2 linked regions of the Oryzias latipes genome follow. The protein of the gene in region 1 purifies or fractionates together with the protein of each later gene. This does not show direct contact. Links are inferred from orthologs where the notes say so. Each region holds a gene or a part of one and is shown in the gene's direction. Other genes may lie near its edges. The genes, in order: bcap31 and cytochrome b5.

Region 1 (4,589 bases):
GCAGGTGGATACATGAAATTTAAAAATAAATGGAAACATTACTTTAGACATACTGCAACGATCCGGCCGGACCGTCACTTTAGTGGGGTAGCGAAAGCCAACTGCTCATGAAGAGGTTTTAATGGAGAGCTGTCCGTGCCCCATACACCGCACGACCCCGGACAGTCTCAGGTTGCAAGAAACGTAGAGAGAGGCAATATTAGCTTTTAAGCAACAAGCCTGTTTATTCCAGCACACATACAGCCCAAACAGCATGGAGGGTCACTTCAGCTTCCAGCCCTCTGACTCAATGTTTCACCCTAAGCTCCCCACTTCCCATGAGCCTTAGGGGCTGAAGGCGGGACTGACCCCCAGGTCGCTACACTGCCCCCACCTAAGAGGGTTAGTGTCCCCACAACCCTCACATAACTGCAGAACTGAACAACACAATTAGCAAAACAACACTGGAACCACACCTGGCTCAGGTCAACCTGGCGACCGGCAATGAGGGCTAGACACCGAAAGGGACTTCTCACACACTCAGACCTGGCGTTAGAGGGCCCTACACTGCTGGACCTCCCACCTGCGGAGCTGCGAGACCTGTCAGCGCGGACAGCAGAGCTTCGCTTTGGGGAGGAGGGTTTGAAGAAGCAGACCCTACAGCAGCTGGAGTCTCGCCGCCGTAGTGACGACGACGATCGCCTGGGATGCCTGGGGACCTTCTGCTGCTGGTGTGCAGCTCTTCACTTGGAGAGAGTCTACTCCCCCATGGTGACGTGCACCCTGATGGTGGTGCTTCCACGGAGGCGGGGACTGGTTCTCCTGGCTGGGCACATACTGGCATGGAACTGTGTCAGTTGCAGATGTGCTAACCCAGCCAGTTAAGAGGAGGACTGTACACGGTGGCGGTCGAAACCCAGGATTGTGCGAAGGAGTCTCCAGCCAGTGTGTTCCTGTGTTTTGCTAATTGTGTTGTGAAGGTTCAGCTGGGCTGCGCACCGTCATCACAGTCTGGTCCGGATGTTCTAACGTTGGTGCCGGGCAGGGCCAGGCTGCGGATGACGGTGGGTGCTCGATCCATCAGGGTGGTGTCATCGCCCTTACTCCTCCCTTGTCCCAGACTGCCACCAGGAACAGCTGCTCCGTCTCACCCTCCATGGAGATGCTCTCCATGTTGTAGCAGCGGCTAAGCAATCCCTCTTCTGACACCATTGTAACGATCCGGCCGGACCGTCACTTTAGTGGGGTAGCGAAAGCCAACTGCTCATGAAGAGGTTTTAATGGAGAGCTGTCCGTGCCCCATACACCGCACGACCCCGGACAGTCTCAGGTTGCAAGAAACGTAGAGAGAGGCAATATTAGCTTTTAAGCAACAAGCCTGTTTATTCCAGCACACATACAGCCCAAACAGCATGGAGGGTCACTTCAGCTTCCAGCCCTCTGACTCAATGTTTCACCCTAAGCTCCCCACTTCCCATGAGCCTTAGGGGCTGAAGGCGGGACTGACCCCCAGGTCGCTACAATACCATTAAACAAAATAATTGTATTAATTACTTTTATTAAATCTGACGCATTGACTCCATCACATATGACTATATATTTATTATATTTTATTGTCAATGTCCTCACGTCAACTGTAGAGTGCAGTTCCTCCTACTACATTTGAATCATCCAATCACGTTAGACGATGAGCTGGCATTAAAGAGCCGGAAGTGGACCGGAAGTTGTCACAACAGGCTAGCAGAGCAGCATTTACAAGCTTTTTTACGTCTCTTTGGGCAGGAAGGCATTTTTCTCTTGGTCTGTGTACTTGAGGTAAGTCTAGTCAGCCTTCTGATGGCAACCTTGTTCGGTAAAATGCGGAGTCATACCATTGTCGTCAGCGGCTAGCATGCTAGCAGCTGCCCGCCCGACTGCATTTCAAAACATCGCTTATGATTTGACAATAAAACGGCTTCTGCCGAGAGTGGACGGCGTCAGTGTCTTTTAAAAACAAGAAACATTCTAATCTCAAAGAAAGCCACGGTTTCCAATTTGGTTAAACGAAAAATAAAGGTCAGTTAACCAGTTTATGTACTAAAATATAGAAATCAAATTAAGTTAGACGCATTCCAGCAAATACACGGTCCCTAATCGTCTTGTGTTTAACGCGCATTTTTGCGGTGTAATAAAGAACAGCTAACAAGTTGGCTACCGCTACTTAATAAAATATTGTCTTCAGTCATTGGCCTCAGTCAGACTTTTAGGGGTTTGCAGAAACCATCTATTTTAATTTACAGCGAATGATGATCAAGATGAATCTTAACAGAGTAATCTAAGTCAGAGGACACAGCTGAGTGACGCCGGTTCAGATCGGCTGATTGCTGTCAGGCGCTGGTCTTAATCACGACTGATCGCTGCATCGTGACACAGCTGTCTGAAGCTGCCACGCCCCTCAGCACCAGAGCCCCCCAACTGGCTCCCCATCTCAGAAGAGTTTCCTCAAAAATACGCCGAGTTTCTGATCAGTCTCTGTCCAGCTGGACTCCTGTGAGGTTCTGTTGGTGTGGAACACTCCAGGAACTTTCTCCTCCCTGATGCTAACACACAGGCCGTGGAGCTGCCACAGGAAAGGAGTTTATTTTGACAGCCTGGTCAGGTCTGTGGTGAGGTCCAGTGTATTTTTGTTGTAGTTCAGGCTTTGGTCTCCACATCGACCACTGTATGCTGTTTATCTTGGTGAGTCGCTCCTCTGTCTCTCCTCCTATAGATCTGAGCTAAATGTTTCTGCTCATAGAGGAAACATCAGGATGAGCAGAAGGGAGTCAGGAGATAAGAGAAAACATAACTGCTCTGAGTCAATGGGACCTCTGAGTGGAGTTTAGACCATAGATATCAGCTCATCAAGACTAAAGTGTAGTTATGCTGAGATTAGAATGTAGAGCTGGAGATGCTGGAGGGCAAGTATGGATAACACCATAAAGCATATAGCTGTGAGCTTCTGGTGTGTGTAAAACAGATGACTAATCTGATGAAATCATCATCTGGAGGAAAGCTGATTGTGAAACATGGATTTCAGAATCAGGCTCAAATTGAACAGAAATGCTTCTTGTTTTCCGTTGTTTTAGTTTAGTTTAGTTTTAGTCTGGATGTGCATAGAAAGTCAAGATGCCTCCTGCTCTGAATGTGTGCTGTTGCTCTGTTGAGTATTCCGTTCTTGAACTTGTGTTTAACATGGACTCGATAAAGCACTCGCTCTCACTTGTCTTCTTCTCAGGAGTCAGGATGAGCCTCCAGTGGACAGCGGTGGCCACCTTCCTTTATGTGGAAGTCTTCCTCGTTCTTCTGCTCTGTATCCCCTTCATCTCCCCAAAGAGGTGAGTGCTCACCAGGACTGAACACCTCACCTGGACTTTATGATTTATTCCACGATCTTTATGATTTATGCCACGATCTTGTCTTCGGCTAATCCTTGTTCAGATATTTGTCACAATGAGCTCTGCTTAACATGGCCTGTGATGATTACCTCTTCAGATGAACAAATGGGTAAAACTACATTTAGGAGTTTTCTAAATGCAGTTTACCGGTAAGTCTTTCCAAATGCACTTTGTGTTACCCAAATGTAGAAAAACCTGTCCAAAGGCCCATGGCAGCGTTGGAGGCTGATCTAATCATAGAGTTCCTGTGTATGCATCTGAATGGGTGGATGTCATGATTCTTACGAACAACTTTTGAAGCTCCTTAGTTTTGAAATGATTCAGCAGAGCCAAGTCAGTCAAACCTTTTTTTTTACATCTCAACGACATCTGCAGACTGTCAGCAGCTGCAAACACAAAATTTCCTGCCTGGATTCTGCAGGCATGACCAGCTGATGTTTTCAGTCGTGGCAGACATCATAACGATAACCAAGCTCAGCATCAAAACAGAAACGTGACACAGAACCATGAAGGTGGCTGGAAAGTTCAGGCGGGTTGAGCTGCTTACTGGGTTTCTGTCCTCGCGTTTGTCTTTGAACCCATCCCCTGTGGACCTCTTCCCCTGCAGGCCACATTCTCTCTCTGTGGGGTTTCATTAAGCCGGAAGCTACAGACACACTGGGCTTCTGACGCGTGTTCAAGAACATGCTGTATGCATTTCGGTGTTCCCACTTGACAAGCAGGGAGGGGCTTCCTCCTCTTTTTCTGTTTTCTAGCGCATGTCCGCCACCGACATGAGGCTAGGTGCAAAATGTTGAAGCGGCGTGAATCTCGAGTTTGGGCATGAAATGGAAACGGTCTGGTTCCTTGCTAGTGTCCTTGCAATGGTGGATATGGATTCCCATCCTGTCAGGAGAGTGGCCCTGGTTTATGTTTATTTAAAAAAACCTAATGCAGGCTCGTCGTTGTGTCTGGGTTCACAACATAAACAAGTGAAGAATAACACAAATAAAACAATATTTAGAAAGAACTTTGTTTGTTTGTGCGCATCTAATGGGATTTCAACACAATCCTTTAAACGGCACCAACAGTTCAAAATGTTAAAGGCAAGAAGGCTCAACGCAACCAAAATGCATCAACCCTTCAGGAGCACAGTGATGCAGTGATGTACAACAAAGATGCAGACAAAAATCCAAATCTCAGTTTAATCCTGAT
Region 2 (4,270 bases), on another chromosome or scaffold:
GGAAACAGGTTTTTATATGTTTGCCAATTTCTTATTAAACATTTTAGCTGTAAATTTGCATAACTTTTGAGTGACTTGCATGATGTTATACCAGAGAGTTGCGCTGCAAAAATTAACAATCTTCAAATAGGAGAGGAGTTCCCATCATCCACAGCGAAAACAAACATTTCATTATAAAAACGTCCTTCCTGCTATCATCTTTTCACGGGCTGTGGGAGTCCACGCAGCTAAACCAATTCGGGTTGACCTGCGTAGATACACCGATTGCTTGATGAACTCATTACGTGAGAGATGACAGTGTGTGCGTGAGTGTAAGATTGCCATAAATGATTTAATGCTAAACAGTCCGTGACCTTTTGCCTGGTCCTCGCCCGCGAGCTGCCCCAGCAGCTCATTAGAGATTGGCAACCTGAACGGACCAATCACAGTCGCCATACGGGCTGCTGGGGAAGGACGACCAATGGAACAGCGGAATTCTGGAAGGTGTGGACGCGGGGGCTTTAACGAAAGTCCGTAAAGCATCCGAAAGCATGAATGATTTTTACCGGAAGTCACAAGATTGTCCTTCAAAATAAAACAATAACATTACGAACTCACAAAAACACGTTTTCATTAAAAATAGTTACCGAAAGCAGATAAACAATGGGACTGCATTGACCTGTAAATAAAATAGATGCAACAAATAAAATAATTAAAACTATAATACGTCTGCAGTACCTAATGCTTTATTTTTATATCATCATAAGCGTTCTTTGTGACATAATAACTTGACATCTGTGAACCTGTTAGTTGAGTTTTTTTCAACCAGAGGTAAGTTAACTATTTCTGTAGTATTAGTTGTTCATTTAAACTGTTAAAAACCTTTTACCATGACCAAAGTCTCTTTTTTACCATGACAGTTAGTTGTTGTTGTTTTTTGTTTTTGTGAAGATATTTTCTCAAATACAAAAAAAAATGCAGTAAAAATATATTTTTACTTTTTTATTATTATTTTTGCTCTGTTCAGAATTTGTTTGTCATCTCCAAATTTCCCACGTGCCTCATTGCCCATGAGCTGAAAATATGGCAGCTGTTATAATTTGGTTTGGTGCATGAAGACTTTTAAGTGGAACATTTAAGGGGGCAGTTGAGCAAAACAGTTTACTAGAATTTCCTATTGTGTGGATTTGATGTTTGACTGCTAAACCGTCAAGTCAGGCTGGATTGTTTCGGACAAAGTGAGCAGCAAGACTGACCAGGAGAACTTTGCTGATGAAGCAGGATCAGAGCCTTCATACTATAAGCAGGACTATAAATAAACTGCAGAGTACCTGAATACACTAACTTAGATGCAAATTGTACATTTCGGGGTTTAAACGTGTTTCTGCTAAAATGACGAGGAGATATAAACACAAGTACAACTGGATTTCTTGGTCAATGCTGCATGACCTTTATTCTGAAGGTAGCGTTCTGAAGTCCCGCAGCTTCCGGCTTGGGTGAACTCTGAAAGTTGTTGGTGACTCTTTCTGGGGTAAATGTCGGCGTGTTTATGCGGAGTCACGGCGCGGCCACTCTTTCCAGCATTACATAAGCTCCGGCCGTCAGTCCGCGCGCCGCCGCAGTCTGCGCCCCGCTGCTCTTCGCGTGCCAAAGCCCGACCGACCGTCCGGCGCCTCAATGGCGGAAACGGAGGAGAGGAGCCCGGAAGGAGTGAAATACTACCGGCTGTCAGAGATCGAAGCGCAAAACTCCTTCAAGTCTACGTGGATAATCATTCACCATAAAGTCTACGATGTGACCAAGTTTCTGGATGAGGTGAGGAGCTGTGCGCGCGCGCTCACGGCTCGTCAGGTGGGGGGCGGAGGTCTCCTGACTGATGGGCGCTTTCCTAACAATAGTCTTTATGGACATTCAGATGCTTTTATTGTGGAATTATCTACTTTTTATCTGAGCAGGTGCGTCTCTGCTCCCTAAGAGGATGTGGGGGCTTGGCCCCCCTTCAGGTTCATGGTTACTCTTATAAAATAAATAAAACATAATTTTTACTCTATTTATCCCACAATGAGGAAATTTCTCTCCGCATTTGACCCATCCCGTGGGCGAGCAGTCAGCTGCAGACTAGCCGCGCTCGGGAGAGAGAGCGGGGATCAAACCGCCAACCCTTTGGTTGTTGGGTGACCTGCTCTAGTGCCTGAGCTAAACTGCCGCTATAGGGAAGTCAGTGAGGATTCAGCCTGCAGATCTTTGTTTAGACAAATGATCGTCTACAGCATTTAGGAAGATAACTGTTTCTTGTTGACAGTCCTTAGACTGCACACATCTTTGTAAACACCAGTTTGATTCAAATTCATTATATGGATAAATGAGGTTTCATTAAAAAAAAGAAAAGGTTCTGACAGCTTATTAGTTTGATAAAGTTTATTCTTAACGTCCAGCAGCTCCACAAGTCGATTGGCAGAAACTCAAGCACCTCTAAGTAATCAGGTATTTGACTCTATCAAGGTGCGCTCACCAGCAGGTTCAGGGTGGAGCCGACTTCTTCTCCTCCACCCTTCTCCGTGACTCCATCTGCAAACATTATGGGTGCTAGGACAGGGGGGGTCAGAGAGATTCAACCCCTCCAGTAGCCCAGTGAGAAATGGAGATGATGCTATTCCAAATATGTCTACACAATGTTGGACTACAAAAAAAACACAACACAAATCTAGCTGCGGAAAATTCCTAGAATTGATCCACACTTGAGCCGTGTCCTTGGGTGGACCTCTTGAGCCTTGTTTCCACTGAGCAGCCCAGTCCGGTCCAGTCTGGTATTTGAAGTGTTTCCGTTATAAAATAGACCCATTAAGTCAGACCGAACCGTGCCATTTTGGTTTGTTGCAGGTCAATAGAACAATGGAGTGGACCAGTTTAGGGTGGGGCTACTGTTGAAACCTGTTGATTGGCTGAACAAAAGAGAGCGGCTGAATTCCTCTTCGCCATCGCAGTCTTCTCTCAAACAGCCTTAAATGCGTTGTATCTATGAAGAAACAAAAGCCAAAATGAATCTGCTGGGTAACCTCTATTGTTGTTAGCTTCATCCCGCACACGCCGTAATAGTCCAACTTTGAGTGGAAACGCTCACCTGAATTGCCCAGACCATTCTAAACGGGACCGGACCGGACCGGACCGCTCAGTAGAAACGAGGCTTTGATTTATAAGCTGAGAACCTTCAACTACATTTTGGACCAAACAAGAGAACTCTGCTCCTCTTCAGAACAAGGGTCTCTGTTTACATGCAGGTGAACTCTGGTGCGGTCCAGTCCAGTGTGAACGCGGACAGACCAAAGACCGGGAGTGATGTATCGTCTTCCACTGTTCTTTGTAACACACAAAACGTTAGCCATGTTGGATTATTCACCAGTCCTGGAACTCCCAACCTTGTTTACGACACATTTAAAAGCACAGTGTTAAACATTACTGTCACTATGCTAACCAAAAATTGTTAGCAACACGTAAAAAACAGTCTGACACCGCTACATGTTAGCGTATTCACTAAAACACTTAAACATTTTTTACAGAGCCCCGTGGATCTCTCAACATCCCTTCAACCTCAGGAAGCACAACCAGAATTACCACAGAGCTCATTTCAGACAATAGCGCCCTCTTTTGGCTGTTTAGTTTTCTCCAGACAGGTTGTGGTCTTTGTTGTTAGTGTGAAGGCGGATGAAGGGAGATCATCTTTCAGCATTTAAAGACAGTGGGAGCTAAAACCTACAACCCAAGCCGATGTTTTCCTGCTGCCGAACGTTTTCCTGCTACCGAACGTTTTCCTGCTGCCGAACGTTTTCCTGCTAGTGAACGTTTTTCTGCTGCCGAACGTTTTCCTGCTGCCGAACGTTTTCCTGCTTTTCCGTTTTCATGATCGGAGCCTTCAGCTGCTTCAACCTGGTGCGTCACTCTGTCAGGAGGAGCTCATCATCCGTTCTGCAGTCAAGGAAACTGTTAATCTGATGGCAGTTGAGGAGCTTTTGCTTCATTGCTAGAATCTTTATTGGTTTGGATTGGAAACAGCAGAAAAGTCTTTCTGATCCACTCTGAGCCTCTGTATCAAGACAGGAAGTGACCATTCACATGTAATTCGGGCGGGGTAACGGTTAGGGTTGAAATACATGTGGGAACTGTGGCGATGTGCATTTTGACGTCACAGATTACGTGTGGCCAGCATGAGTTTCCATCAGTTTCTGTGCAAAGATCATCGACCATCTAGAAAAGAGACGCGCCTTTGCTGTTGAAACAATCTTCTGAACTGATC

What was found.
Region 2: the proteins of bcap31 (region 1) and cytochrome b5 purify together in Homo sapiens (co-immunoprecipitation; 4 studies listed by BioGRID and IntAct, with this or other methods). This does not show direct contact. The link is inferred for Oryzias latipes from reciprocal best matches to the Homo sapiens genes BCAP31 and CYB5A.

Annotation. Positions count from the first base shown.
Region 1 is NC_019865.2:31,914,973-31,919,561, reverse strand, and holds the start of bcap31 (B-cell receptor-associated protein 31), read left to right. Parts: upstream 1-1,663; 5' UTR 1,664-1,794; intron 1,795-3,235; 5' UTR 3,236-3,243; coding exon 3,244-3,335; intron 3,336-4,589. UniProt on the Homo sapiens protein: Functions as a chaperone protein. Is one of the most abundant endoplasmic reticulum (ER) proteins.
Region 2 is NC_019878.2:4,146,277-4,150,546, reverse strand, and holds the start of cytochrome b5, read left to right. Parts: upstream 1-1,466; 5' UTR 1,467-1,656; coding exon 1,657-1,794; intron 1,795-4,270.